Linked DNA regions of Anolis sagrei. The protein of the gene in region 1 interacts with the protein of each later gene in a pairwise test. Links are inferred from orthologs where the notes say so. Each region holds a gene or a part of one and is shown in the gene's direction. Other genes may lie near its edges. The genes, in order: GPSM3 and GNAI3.

Region 1 (7,874 bases):
AGAGAGATGATTGGCCAAAACTAACAAAATGAAGTTCAACAGGGACAAATGCAAGATACCCCACTTGGGCAGGAAAAATGAAGTTCAAAGATACAGAATGGGGGACGCATGACTCAAGAGCAGTACATGTTAAAAAGATCTTGGAGTCCTCATGGACAAAAAGTTAAACATGAGCCAACAATGTCATGCGGCAGCAAGAAAAGCTAATGGGATTTTGGCCTGCATAAAGAGGAGTATAGTGTCTAGATCCAGGGAAGTCATGCTATCCCTCTATCCTGCCTTGATAAAACCACATCTGGAATACTGTGTCCAATTCTGGGCACCACAATTGAAGGGAGATGTTGACAAGCTGGAATGTGTCCAGAGGAGGGCGACTAAAACGATCAAGGGTCTGGAGAACAAGCCCTATGAAGAGCAGCTTAAAGAGATGGGCATGTTTAGCCTGGAGAAGGCTGAGAGGAGACATGATGGCCATGTATAAATATGTGAGGAGAAGTCATACGGGGGGGGGGGGGGGAGCAGGCTTGTTTTCTGCTGTCTTGGAGAATGGGAAGCAATGGAACAATGACTTCAAACTACAAGAAGGGAGATTCCACCTGAACATTAGGAAGAACTTCCTGACTGTGAGAGCTGTTCAGCAGTGGAACTCTCTGCCCCAGAGTGTGGTGGAGGCTCCTCCTTTGGAGGCTTTTAAACAGAGGCTGGATGGCCATCTGTCGGGGGTGCTTTGAATGCAATTTTTCTGCTTCTTGGCAGAATGGGGTTGGGCTGGATGGCCCATGAGGTCTCTTCCAACTCTTTGATTCTATGATTTTAATCTAAAATTACAAAATCAAAGTATGCTTTTTGGATTGTTTAAAATATGTTTTCAAGTTGTGGATTATGGAATCTATAGCTGCAGAATCCCTGGATACAGAGGGTGGATTTACTTATGCTTTTTATATATACCTATACACTTAACAGAAAGGCAGTGTGGTACCCAATAATATTAATAATTTTGTGCACTAAACAAAGTTAGTGCTCATTGAGCCATTAGAAAGCAAAGGCATCACTCTCTCAGCTACCCTTGTGGATTATTTCAGATTCTGGAGACTTAACTTCCATTAGGTATTTTGGCAGAAGATAGATTTCAATGTTCTGAGCTGCTATTCTGAAAATCAGGCCATATTGGGAAATAGCCATGATGAAATGGGCAAATCTTTGCGTAGCTGCTTTCTGCAGCTGTTTATCTCCAGAATCCTGCAAATCTTTTGGGAAGACAGGCAGATCAATGTCAGCATGCTGGAAGAAGCAAAATCACCAGCACTGAAATGATGCTCCTATGCCATCAACTCTGCTGGCGTGGCCACGTTGTCCAAATGCCCAAAGATCACCATCTCCCAAAGCAGAAGCAACTTGAGAAACTTTGTGTCAGGAGCGCCTTGAGAAACTGCAAGTCATTTCTGGTGTGAGAGAATTTGCCGTCAGCAAGGACGTTGCCCAGGAGAATCTTGGATGTTTGTTGTTTTACCATCCTTGTGGGAGGCTTCACTCATGTCCCCCACATGGGGAGCTGGAGCTGACAGAGGGAGCTCAACCCGCTCTTCCTGGATTCGAACACTGACCTGTCAGTCAGCAGTCCTGCCAGCACAAGGATTTTATTCATTGCACCACTGGAGGCTCCATTCCTAAAGCAGTTACTATACTCCCAACTGAAGAATGAAAAACATAATGTTGGTGGACAGGAAAAGAGATTTTAAAATGGGCTTAAAGCTAACCTTTAAAAACTGGCATAGACACAGCGAACTGGGAAGCCCTGGCCCTTGAGCACCCTAACTGGAGGTCCAACAAAGATTAAGCCAAGAGGATCTTTAAATTGGGACTATAATTATGTGTGCATGTTTTTAACCAACTTGGTTCCAGGAGCAGATATTGGCTTGCTGGCAGGACAAATGCTCCTCCTGCAGAAAGTCCTGAATTCATAGTCTTTAGCTTGCTCTGCTAAAACTACGGGGCCCCGGGTGATGGCACAACCCTAGGGTGCCTGTGCCAGGCAGTCAGCAGGTCCAGCTGTGCCATCTGACAGAGCAAAGTGGATGCCTGAGGCCAACACTCCTACAAGTCATGAGAGGGCAGCAAATTGCAACTGGTTACATTGATTTGCACTGTGTTGCAAATCACCTCCAAGGGAGAGATGTTTGTAGGAATTTACGCCTTGGGTGTCAAAATAATTTGATCAACATCAGGATCTTGGTACTTTGCATAGCAGCGATGAAGTGGTCCAGCGTCATTCATATTTTGCTGGAGGTCCTGCCAGTCATAGCAGAGATGTAGATTATCTGGCATTTATAAGAAAACAGTTTTCCAGTGTTTATCCTGTTGCTGATATGGCATGGGATTGATCGCATGCCTGTTTTAAGCATGTCTCCTCCACTGAATGAAGGTTTTTATTCTCAGTTTTAACCCTGTAGTACTTCGCTCTGAGCTGCAAGCAAAAGATGCTATTATTCTGTTGTTGAAGGCTTTCATGGGTCTTCAGAATCACTGGATTGCTGTGAGGTTTCTGGCTGTCTGGCTATGTTCCAGAAGCATTCTCTCCCAACGTTGCACCCACATCTATGTCAGGCATCCTCAGAGGTTATGAGGTCTGTTGGAAACTAGGAAAATGAGGTTTATTTATTTATTTATTTTATTTCAATTACTTTTACCCCACCCTTCTCACCCCAAGGGGGAACTCAGGGCGGCTTACAGACGAAGGCACAATTCGATGCCTGAATCAACTAACAAATAATACAGAAAAACAATTCAAACAGTTAACAAATTAAAAACATCAATACATAATAACATAGCAAAACAATCTCATGCTCAGTGTTCAGAGTCCGTATATCTATTCCATTGCATCTGTCCTTATTTATCGTCAGATTCTTTAGCTGCCAGAATGTCCAAAGGCTTGGTCCCAAATCCAGGTCTTCAGTTTTTTCCTGAACGTCAAAAGGGAAGTCGCTGATCTAATCTCCCCAGGGAGTGAGTTCCACAGGTGAGGGGCCACCACTGAGAAGGCCCTGCTCCTCGTCCCCGCCAACCTCACTTGTGATAGTGGCGGGGTTGAGAGCAGGGCCTCCCCAGATGATATACCTGTGGGATGTCTGGGGAGGGAGAAAGACCTCTTGTCTGCTTGATAAAATACAGCTATATTTATTGTTTTTGTTGATGCTATTATTATTATATTAATTATTATATTAATTATTATTATATTTATTATTATTATTTGAAACACAACAAGATGAGTCCACAGCAGACACTCTGCTGGCTGTTGTATTGGATGACACATCGGACACTTCCCAATTGTCTAGGACTGTGTGATGTATCGGCGAATAATGTGTGCAGATCCCAGTAAGGTGGCCTTCTGCAGCTGGCAGATGGTAATTTTGTCAGTGCCGATTGTGTTTAAGTGCAGGCCAAGGTCTTTAGGCATTGCACCCAGTGTGCCAATCACCACTGGGACCCCCTTTACTGGCTTGTTCCAGAGTCTTTGCAGTTCAATCTTTAAATCCTCATATCGTGTCAGCTTTTCCAGTTGTTTCTCTTCACTCCTGCTGCCACCTGGGATTGCAACATCGACAATCCATACTTTGTTTTTTAACACAATTGTGAGGTCAGGAGTTCTTCTTCTTCTTCTTCTTCTTCTTCTTCTTCTTATTATTATTATTATTATTATTATTATTATCCGCTGGATAATGGAGAAAGGCAGGGAGTTTCAGAACAACATCTATTTCTGTTTTATTGACTATTCTAAAAGTGTTGACTGTGTGGATCATAATAAATTGTGGCAAGTTGATGGTATGGGGATACCAAGTACCCTTGTCTGTCTCCTGAGGAATCTGTATAACAACTATGTAGCAACAGTAAAAACAGAATGGTTCAAGATTTGGAAAGGAGTATGGCAGGGCTGTCTACTCTCACCCACCCTACTTAACATATCATGCAACTTGCAGGGCTTGATGAATCCAAGGATGGAGTTAAAATTGCTGGAAGAAACATTAACAACCTTAGATATGCAGACGATACCATTTTGAAGGCTGAAAGAGTGGAGAAGATGAGGAGCCTTCTAACCAAGCTGAAAAAAGAAAGTGCAAAAGCTGGGTTGCAGTTAAACATTTAAAAAACCAAGATTATGACAACCAGGCTGATCCATGAGGTCATGAAGAGATGCTATTTTAAATTGTAAGTCGCTCAGACCACCTTGCTGGAGAGCGACTAATTAAGAAATAAAGTGAAGCGAAGTGAAGTGAAGGTGATCAGTTGAAACATTCACACCTAGCTCCAGCAGGGAAGAGCTCCTTGCCCCACCCCAGCCATTCCACAGATATATAAACCCATTGTCCTAATTCCAACAGACCTCACTACCTCTAAGGATGCTTGCCATAGATGCAAGCGAAACGTCAGGAGAAATGCCTCTAGAACATGGCTCTATAGCCCGAAAAAACCCACAAGAACCTAGTGATTCCAGCCATGAAAGCCTTCGACAATACATTGAAGTGAAGTCACTTCATTCTGAGAAAGCTTCACACACCTGGCTCTTTCGCTTGTCTCATTGGTTTTGAGACCAATGGGAAGAGAGACAGAAAGAAAGTTGGCGTGAGAAACATACTATATAGCAAGAGCAGGAAGCGGTAGTAGCTTCCCGTGTAGAAATAAGAGGCGTAGCCAGCCAAACAGATCAAGCAAAACCAAGAAGGAAGGAGAAAAGTGACAGTAGGCTGAGTCTCCTGAAGACAAAGCAACAGTCACACAAAAGAGAAGGAAGATGGTCATTTGGCACAGGCGCCAGTGGTGGAAATAATACGAGAGGGGCACAAAAGGTGAGCACAATGGTAAAAATGGGATTTCCAAGACTGGAGTGATCAGTAGCCAAGAATGGGTGAGTCTATAGAATGAATGCAGTTTGATGCCCCTTTTACCACTTGATCAATGCTATAGAATCAAAGGGAGCTGTAGTTTTACAAGGTCTTTAGTCTTTTCTGTCAAAGAGTATTGGTTCCTCACCAAATTCCAAATTACATGATTCCATAGCGTTGAGCTAAGGCAGTGAAAGTGGCATCAAACTGCATTCATTCTATATTGAAGATACACTCAAGGTAGCTGGGTGTTGTGGAAGTATAATGAGTTATTTGTTTTTTTGGCTCAATGCTATGGTATCTTGGGAGCTGTCATTTGATGAGGCACCAGCACTCTGATGGAGAAGGATCAAGACCTTGTAAAACTTCAACTCCCATGATTTGATGTCATTCTATTTTTAACTACTGGAGCTTTATTTATTAGCTAAGACAGTAGTTCTCAACCTTCCTAATGCCATGACTCCTTAATACAGTTCTTCATGTTGTGATGACCCCCAAACATAAAATTATTTTCATTTCTACTTCACAACTGTAATTTTGCTACTGTTCTGAATCGTAATGTAAATATCTGATATGCAGGATGTATTTTCATTTACAGGATGAAATTAGGCACAAATACCCAATATGCCCAAATTTGAATACTGGTGGGGTTGCGAGGGGGGGGGGGATAGATTTCATAATTTGGGAGTTGTAGTTGCTGGGATTTATAGTTCACCTAATCAAAGAGCATTCTGAACTATGTGGCCAGCATGACTGCATGGGTCACTGTTACCTTCCCACCAAGGTGGTACCTATTGATCAACTCACATGTGCATGTTTTTGAACTGCTAGGTTGGCAGAAGCTGGGCCTAATAGCGGAAGCTCACCCTGCTCCCTAGATTTGAACTGCCAACTTTTCAGTCAGCAAGTTCAGCAGCTCAGTGGTTTAAACCTTTGTGCAATCAGGGGGCCCACCGCCTGGTATTGTATGCAAATTGTAATATGACACTATATAGTGAAATAAGCATGTGCAATGCCAACTAGTTGATGTAACCATTTTCATATTGAGCAAAAAAAAAACAAAACACCCAAGTATTTCACACATAACCAGTTAGGATCTTTGTATGCTGATGAAGGGAAAATCTGATGCTATAAATATCATGTTGAAACTTTTGCTCAGCATTTGGTCCTTTGAGAAATCTCTCTGAGTTTAGGCCTTCTTGCAAATTGCTGTCCGGAAGCTGCTGAGTGATTTCCAATATTTGGTGTGATCATGGACCTGATGCACCGAGCAAGGAATTTGCCAGCTCTAATAATAATAATAATAATAATAATAATAATAATAATAATAATCCCAGTGGTGATCAGCACACAAGGTGCAGTGCCTAAAGGCCTTGGCCTGAACTTAAACACAATCGACGCTGACAAAATTACCATTTGTCAGCTGCAAAAGGCCACCCTACTGGGATCCGAACACATTATTCACTGATTGGGAAATGTCCAACATGTGATCTAATACGACAACCAGCGCTGCGTACTAATCCTGCTGTGTTTCTAATAATATTAATATTAAGAATAATAGTAATAGTAATAGTAATAATGTTATTTGTTACCCATCTCCTCATGTCTCAATGCAGGACACAACACATAATGCATCCCCATAAAATCCATACAATAACATGCATGCATTAAAGCACATTTCTATAAAATGCACATATTAAAATGCAGGGTACAAATATTGCAATGCAATAATGATAAATTTAAAATTCATGATTTAAAACTGGGTTTAGTGGCCATATTCCAAACCCCCTAAAAACCCCAAAATCCTAAGCACATCTGTTCTGAAGCATTGTGGCAAGGGGATTCCTGTTTAGTTATCATCTATTGCTGACCCTTTTGGATTATACACCTTATTTCCTTAGACCTGAATTTTCCATATACCTTTAATGTATTTTTACAGTAAACTGATTGCTTATACTCAGGACTCTTGTGTGGTGCTGTGGTCATCGGTGGCTTCAGGCCTGGGGTGCAACACTCAAATACAAGTTGATACCACTGTGAGTTGTATTTTGTTGCATCACCAGCTATCTTGGGCAGAGATGACGAAAGGTCTTGTAAAACTATGGCTTCCAGGATTCAATAGCATTGACCCATGGCAATTAAAGTGGTGTCCAACTGTATTAATTCTAAAGCATATATGGTGTGTGGGTGGGAGCTTAATCATTTTGGCTTCACCACGGTTCCACTTGGATTTGGGGCTTTCATGCTTGTGATTCGGGATGATAAAGGGGGGAAATGGACATTAAGAGGAACATTCCTTCCATGAACAGTCGTGGGCAGAGGTAAAATGTGAAAGCCTTTTCTTCCATGACATTGCCCCGTGAAGGCAATTTGCATCCTTGTAACCAACTCATATCACACTTGGTTGGGTCCAACAGTGTGAAATATTCACCCACAACGGTTGCATTGCAATCCACAGGAGAGTTTTCTGTTGCTTCCTGCTGCCTGGGGAGGAAAAAATACCTTATGTGAGGCACTGCTTGCAACACCTTGAACTCTGTGACTTCCCAAGCGGTTGCAAAACATCTCTTTTCCCAAGTGCCTTTTATTTGCCATAGCAAAGAGATTCTGAGCATGTGCAGAGTCAGCATCAACTGCAACGTTTTTGGCAACGTTGAAATATTTCTAATGGTGATGATCACACAATTCATGTGGCTTCTAGCTGACTCTGACATGTGAGAAGTTTCTAGGAATGATTTATTCCAAGTAGGTTCAATAGCTCCTTCCTCTTAGGGCAGTGTTTCTCAACCTTACTAATGCCACGACCCCTTAATACAGTTCCTCACGTTGTGGTGACCCCCAACCATAATATTATTTTCATTGCTACTTCTTAACTGTAATTTTGCTCCTGTTATGAATCATCATGTAAATATCTGATATGCAGGATGTATTTTCATTCACTGGACCAAATTGGGCACAAATATCCTATATGGCCAGATTTGAATACTAGTGGGTTTG
Region 2 (7,724 bases), on another chromosome or scaffold:
CACTTAAGTGCACAGTGAAATGCCATTATATGGTAGTGTTGATGGGGTCCAAGTGTGGCCAACTTCAATGATCCCTGAGGTCAGTGGCCCACCTAGAACCTGCTCTGGGCTTCTAATCTGACAATGATGAGATCAGATTTGGGAAGGGTGAGAAAAGGACAGGCTTGTATACTCATCTTGTGTAAAGCTAAGATTTCTTTGATCCAGTCAAAGGTCCCCTATTCTTTTTACCTTCTTGGAAGCAGACAAATTGGGCTTATGAGCGCAAAAGGTGGTGGGTGCAATCACACTCATCTTAGAAGGTACCAAGAAAAACATTCTTCCTTTCCACATGGGACAATGATCTGTTTCTGCCTTAACTTCTACTAGAGCCTCAGTGAGCAGATACACACACTTGCTTTCACTATTCATTCAGATACAAAAATACAACACTGGGAGTGAATCTTTAAAAGTTGCTTAGAAGATCACATTGCAAATTCCTTTGCAAACTACTTTATAAATAAGAAGTTGCTATTTCCACATAGGTAAAATATTTGCCTATACAGTAGTTACTTTTATCCTTGTGTGAGTATGTGTAACTTTAAGGTCCCTGTCAATTTATGGGGACCTCATGAATTCTTTCGGATTTCCATAGGCAAGGGATACTCAGAGGTGATTTTGCCACTTCCTTTACCCTCATTATGGTAAGTAGGAAATCCCAACTTGTAGTTCTGATATGCATTCTCTAGATGGCAACACAGACCCAAAAATCTTTATTATAGCTGCATTTCCTGACAAAACTGGTTTAATTTATGTTTGTTCTCTGTCTGTGGGTACCAGTTACAAAGGATTCTTTTGTTTTTTTTTTCTTTGGGAAATTATGAGCCTCCACACCTACTTCTAAAGTAGGAGGGAGTGACAGATTTATCACCTGCAACAGGTGTCTCACTTTCTCCCTCCCAGTGTCAGGAAACTAATTCTGTACTCATTTTGTTTGGGACAAAAGACACAGTAAATGTTTTATAAATGTCTGCTTGTAGATAATACTCTGATAATCAGCTCCAAATAGAGAGGCAATCTTGATAAAGCTTAGAAAAGTCCCTTTTTTGGAGATCATATCCCAGTACCTACTAGATATTAGGATTATGGGATATGTAGTCCAGAAAAAGTATCTTTCCAAAGCTCTGATCTGGAGTAGGTATGCAGTATCCAGAAGCATGTGTGAGGCAATGTTCAGGTCAGCCAAATTATTTTCGTGCTAGATTCACCCTACACTAAAGTGATAACAATTCCTTATATTCATTCATAAAGAGGAAGCCCATGCCTCCTTCCCTCCTCTTCCATCATTGTCATCATCGTCATTAAAATATTTTCCCTCCACACAGAAATTCAGGCAAGAGGGAATAAGCAATCCTACAGAAAATTTATATGCACCCATCCCTTCACATTTGCATTTTTGACTTGTGAATTTGATTATTCATGGATCTGATTAAAATTGTCTCTGTAGGAATCTTGAAGTCTTCAAGTGTGTCTTTATAGCCACCTTCATCCAATCATGAATATCTCCCTAGGAATCTCTAAGTACTGCATTGCATTTCTATGGTCAGCTTCCAGTAGACAGTAAAATAAAGAGTTATGCTGAAAAATATAGAAATTCCTAGAGAGGTTCTATCTCTGGTTAAAAAAAATAGTAAATTCGTGTTTTTTCTCTTTCAGGGGGGGTCCCACTTCTATGACAGGCATCCTCAGAGGTTGTGAGATCTGTTGGAAACTAGGCAAGTGAGGTTTATATATCTGTGGAATGTCCAGGGTGGGAGAAACATTCCCTAGAAAAGGTCCCTAGAGGGCGACAGAACAGCCTGTACACCAACTTCTCTATTTTGGAGACTGGGTTATGAAATGGGAGGAAGAGTCACAATTTCCTTTTTAAGGGTTGTTCCTGTAACACACAATCCACAGACACATCCTGTTTCATTTATTTTTCTAGTTACAAATTGGACTCTTGTCCAATTGAGTGAGAGCAGAATGTTTAAGCCCCATAGTTCCAGAGGATTGTTAAGAAGATCCCAAAGACCCAAATGTTGGAAGTATTTTGTATTAAATTGAGCTACAGCTGTCAAGAGAGAAAAATAGCCTGCTGTCTGAGTGAGCATAGCCTCCTAGTATGTTCCTACTTAAGCCACCTGTGACTGGGCAAAGATACAGACAGTTGTGCATTTTGTTTCAGTCTCATGTCCATCCTTTTCTGCTGTCATCTTCTATTTCTCTCTATTGGTTTTTACAGTGGCTTTTCTTATCCCTTGATAAACAGTTGCATTTAGAATTCTGACTCTGTTTCTCTCCATTTTGCATTTACATTTCATCTGCCCTTAAGCTACTTGAAGAGTTTCATTTGTGGAAACTTTCTTTTCTTTGCTTTCACTCTCTTTTTTTGCTACAAAAGTGTCTTTTTGTATTCCTCCCCAACAAAGTCCCTGGCTTCAGATCTGGCTCTTGGTGAATTAGGCTTAATAGCGCAAATCTATTTCTACATTATATTTAAATTCTACAGTGATGTTCTTGGGTTGTATTCTGGCATGACAATTGGCTTAGTGTCCTTCAACTCTACTTCAGTTTTTGAAATTCATGGTCTGTGCCACATTCTGCTCCTGGTCTTGGGGTTTTTTGTTTGTTTGTTTGCAGAAAGAATGTATCTTCTCCATTTTCTGCATCCAGATATGTACTTTATATATGTAATTTTCTGGTTCAAAACGTCCTATTCTTGTCCACTGTAATTTGTTCACCCCAAGTATTGCAAGGTTGATACATTCAATTCCCTGGTTAATGTTTCTCACAATCCACTTTCCTATAACATGTGCAGCCTCAGACTTCCTTTTTACCTTTCATCATGTCAACAGCTGACAAGTCCCTTTGACTTGAATCCAGTTTAGTTTGGCTCCAAATAAAAAAATTGTCAGACATGGGAGCCCATACCAGCACCATTGCTTCCACCAGCATAGCCTATTTGCCATGGCTCAATGTTAGGGAATCCTGGGAATTGCAGATTGGGAAGGCTGGGCAGAGAAGGCTCATGACCTTATACAACCTCCATGATTCCACGACTACAATTATGTAGTTATAGTTTCAGTTATTCTATAACTACATGATTCTGTAATAGGCCTGGGCAAATTCGGGCCCTTTCTCCAGGTGTTTTGGACTTCAACTCCCACAATTCCTAACAGCCTCATGCCCCTTCCTTTTTCCCTGAGGCTGTTAGGAATTGTGGAAGTTGAAGTCCAAAACACATGGAGAGATGGCCCAAGTTTGTCCATGCCTGGTATATACCCATGTGTACGTCAACCTCATGTATAAGTCAACCTCATGTATGGCTGTTGGGAATGGTGGGAGTTGAAGTCCAAAGGGGCCTAAGGTGAAAAAGGAAGGGGCCTGAGGCTGCTGAAGTCCAAAAGTGGCTGAGCGGGGAAAAGAAAGAGCCTGAGGCTGTTAGACATGGTGGGAATTGGAGTCCAAAGGGGCCTAAGGTGAAAAAGGAAGGGGCCTGAGGCTGCTGAAGTCCAAAAGTGGCTGAGAGGGGAAAAGGAAAGGGCCTGAGGCTGTTAAGAATGGTGGGAGTTGAAGTCCAAAGGGGCCTAAGGCGGAAAAGGAAAGGGCCTGAGGCTGCTGAAGTCCAAAAGTGGCTGACAGGGAAAAGGAAAGGGCCTGAGGCTGTTAGGAATGGTGGGAGTTGAAGTCCAAAGGGGCCTAAGGAGAAAAAGGAAGGGGCCTGAGGCTGCTGAAGTCCAAAAGTGGCTGAGCGGGGAAAAGAAAGAGCCTGAGGCTGTTAGACATGGTGGGAATTGGAGTCCAAAGGGGCCTAAGGTGAAAAAGGAAAGGGCCTGGGGCTGCTGAAGTCCACAAGTGGCTGAGGAGGGAAGGGAAAGGGCCTGAGGCTGTTAGGAATGATGGGAGTTGAAGTCCAAAGGGGACTGAGGCAGAAAAAGAAAGGGCCTGAGGCTGCTAGGAATGGTGGGACTTGAAGTCCAAAGGGGCCTGAGGCGGAAAAGGAAGAGGCCTGAGGCTGCTGAAGTCCAAAAGTGGCTGAGAGGGAAAAGGAAAGGGCCCGAGGCTGTTAGGAATGGTGGGAGTTGAAGTCCAAAGGGGCCTAAGGTGAAAAAGGAAGGGGCCTGAGGCTGCTTAAGTCCAAAAATGGCTGAGAGGGGAAAAAGAAAGGGCCTGAGGCTGTTAGGAATGGTGGGAGTTGGAGTCCAGAGGGGCCTGAGGCAGAAAAGGAAGGGGCCTGAGGCTGTTAGGAATGGTGGGAGTTGAAGTCCAAAACACCTGGAAGGAGGGTCCAAGTTTGACCATGCCTGTTCTATAGTTATAGTTATGGACTCCTGCGCCTGTAAGATCACAAGCCTTCAATGTTTCCCAAACGCTGGTTTCGCAGGTATTTTGGACTTCAGCTCCCTAGAACCCCTGACCATGGTCCAAAGCAGCTGAGGCGTTCTGGGAGCTGAAGTCCAAAACATATTGGAGAACTATTGTTTAACAAAACCCCGGGGTTGTTCTTCAACTACATTTCCCAAGATGCACTTCGCCTTTCGTCGGTCGGTCTGGAGTAGAGGAGCGGAAGCAGGCCAGTTTCCGGTGCCTCTCTCGTTCCGGCCCCTCCCTTCCCCGTTGCCTCCCAACTCGAGTCGCGGCGACCGTTGAGGAGAGAGAGAGCGAGAGAGAGGCAGAGAGGCGCCGCCTAAGGCCTCTCCCGTCCCTCACCGCCGCCGCCATGGGCTGCACGCTGAGCGCCGAGGACAAGGCGGCGGTCGAGCGGAGCCGCATGATCGACCGCAACCTCCGCGAAGACGGGGAAAAGGCGGCCAAGGAGGTGAAGCTGCTCCTGTTGGGTGAGGAGAAGGAGAAGGAGGAGAAGGGTGGGGCCGGGGCCTTAGGCGGGGGGAAGGCGGCGGTTAGGCCCAAGCCACGCTCTTCGCCCCGGTACAGTTCGCAAGGGCCTGAGACCCAGCCCTGCTCGAGCACAGTTTGAATTCGTCCAGCCTGGCCCCACTTCAGCCGCCATGTCTCCGTGCTACAGGATCAGGGGAGTCGTGGCGTTGCGAGGTCTTGGGCCTTCTCTGCCAAAGGCTTGTGGGGCCTCTCCGAACCACAACACCCAGGAGTCCATCCATAGTAGGCTTGGGAAAACTTGGGCCCTCCAGGTGTTTTGGACTTCAACTCCCATCATTCTTGACAGCCTCAGGCCCCTTCCTTTTCCCCCAAAGGGGCCTAAGGCGGAAAAGGAAAGGGCCTGAGGCTGCTGAAGTCCAAAAGTGGCTGACAGGGAAAAGGAAAGGGCCTGAGGCTGTCAGGAATGGTGGGAGTTGAAGTCCAAAACACCTGGAGGGCCCAACTTTGCCCATGCCTAATATAGAGGGACATAGCCTGATCCATAGCCGTGAACCGCATTAGTTGAAAGGGATGTCAGACCCCATTGATTCTACAGTGTAGATCAGGCATGGGCAAGCTTCGGACTTCAACTCCCATAATTCCCAACAGCCCTTAGATCACTTTTGTTTTGAATACACACCGCTTGAAGGTGATTTTATGTAAAATTTTAAATTTGGTGTGTATTTATATAAATAAAAATGTAATGTTTGTTTGTGGGATTAACATAACTCAAAAACCACAGGAAATTTTGACGCCAGATTTGGGCACAATACACTTATCAGACCAATGAGTGACAGTCACTCATTAAAACACATCAGAAGAGACTTAAAAAGCCAAAAAACTAAATACATTACAATGCATGCGCAAAACCACATATATACACAAATATGTACACACAGATATACGCATATACACACACAAAACACATATACACAGACTAGGCCACAGCAACATGTGGCAGGGGATGGCTAGTGTGATATATACAGACACATACATACATAGATACACCCTGCATTTTCCTGGGTGTTCATTTTTCTTTGTGGCTCTTCTTTGCCTTCATCCACCTTCTTCCTTAATAATAATACTTGTTGTGTGTTGAAGGCTTTCAAATACTTTATTTGTAGCCCAGAGCCCCCGGTGTCACAGTGGGTTAAACTGCTGAGCTGCTGAACTTGCTGACCAAAAGGTCCGTGTTTCGAATCTGGAGAGCAAGGTGAGCTCTCACTGTTCGCCCCAGCTTCTGCCAGCCTAGCAGTTCGAAATTATGCAAATGCGAGTAGATCAACAGGTACCACTTCAGCAGGAAGGCAACTGCGCTCCATGCTGTCATGCTCCATGCAGTCCATGCATCTATGGACAGAAATGACGATGAGGTCTACTGCCAAAGTCGGACATGACTAGACTTTATGTCAAGGGGAAACCTTTACCTTTATTTGTAGTCCGCCCTATCTCCCTTAGGGGACACAGGACGGCTTCCAACATAATAAAAGCAAACATTCAATGCCTGTATGAAACAAAGTAAAAATATAGACAACAAGTAAGACAATACATTACACAAGTTAAAACAAGTAATTTAAATAATGATAAGTGAAAGCGAATGCCTTCCTTCACTTTCCATTTATACACCTTCCCCTTCTTCTTTCCTTTCTCTTCCATTTTTCTACCCTCCCCTCATACCTTTCCCTCGCTTCCTTCCTTTTTTCTCCCCCTCCATTGCTTACTTTCGCTTCTTTTCTCCCCTCCCCCTACATATGTCTTCTAGTATGAGCTAATCAGCTTCACTCCTCCTTTCTATCCCAGTCACATGGACAGAGGGCCACTGCACCTAGCAACAGCCAATCCACTTTGTGTCTTTTCGTTCCCTCAGCTCTGTGCCAAAAAATGGGTGGGTTCTTTTTAATTCAAACTCATTATTTTAAGTTGGATAATGAACGGTACGTGTGCCAAGTTTTGTCCAGATGCATCAAGCCTTTGTGGTACAAATCAGTCAACTAACATGTATGCATATGTCCATTCTTTGACTTAGATCAATTGTTCCCAACCTTTTTTTGACCAGGGACCACTCCAACATTAGTACCAAAAGGGTTACGAATCAGTTTTTGGTCAACTTCAGATTTGGTTTGGTTATTTGGCGTGCTGATTCAAAAAACTGCATTGGAGAGACCACATCAACTCTAGTTTCTGATCCAGAACATATGCCATCCAGTAGTTGCTATCTGCTAGCCCAAAAAAAAAAACCATATTAAAAAAGCCTCAGCAATATAAGAGAGTTTTGCGAGACCCGTCGCTCTCGTTGCAACGATGTGGTAATAGTGAGACCTTAAACCTTATTTTAGTTCTTGCGGACCACAGGTTATATATATCATCTTGTTCAATCTGTGCAAAAGGAAAAACTTCCCAAATGTCAGAAATGTGGCACTTCTTATAATAAAGGAAAACCAGTTCCTACCCACACAGGGTTTGCTTGAAGCTATCATCTGCTTTCCCCATGGTTCCCTGAAAATCTTTGCTAAGAAATACAAGATTCAGACTTTTCCACATTTACATATAAAGTGTGATGGCAGGGGAGTAGATTGTTGAGATACTGAGTAGGTTAGACTTTGTTTGAAGCATGGTGGTTTGGATGTTGATGTTTGTAGGCTGTAGCAACATCATCCTGCCTGTGACCTTAACTACAGAGTTAATGATCCACTGTAACTTTTTTTAAGTCACTGTTTTCCTCCCAAATTATTTTTTGTTTAATAAATGCGTATTCCTTTTTTGGGGTGTGTAGTTTGAAGCTCTCACATTTATGTTTTAAAGATCCTGTAATGTCTCATCTCACT

What was found.
Region 2: the proteins of GPSM3 (region 1) and GNAI3 interact in binary tests that used the Homo sapiens proteins (3 or more experiments, as listed by UniProt). The two-hybrid records come from large-scale screens. The link is inferred for Anolis sagrei from reciprocal best matches to the Homo sapiens genes GPSM3 and GNAI3.

What each region holds. Positions count from the first base shown.
Region 1 is NC_090022.1:16,759,077-16,766,950, forward strand, and holds the start of GPSM3 (G-protein-signaling modulator 3), read left to right. Parts: upstream 1-4,734; 5' UTR 4,735-4,841; intron 4,842-7,874. UniProt on the Homo sapiens protein: Interacts with subunit of G(i) alpha proteins and regulates the activation of G(i) alpha proteins.
Region 2 is NC_090024.1:184,493,801-184,501,524, reverse strand, and holds the start of GNAI3 (guanine nucleotide-binding protein G(i) subunit alpha-3), read left to right. Parts: upstream 1-4,606; 5' UTR 4,607-4,741; coding exon 4,742-4,859; intron 4,860-7,724. UniProt on the Homo sapiens protein: Heterotrimeric guanine nucleotide-binding proteins (G proteins) function as transducers downstream of G protein-coupled receptors (GPCRs) in numerous signaling cascades.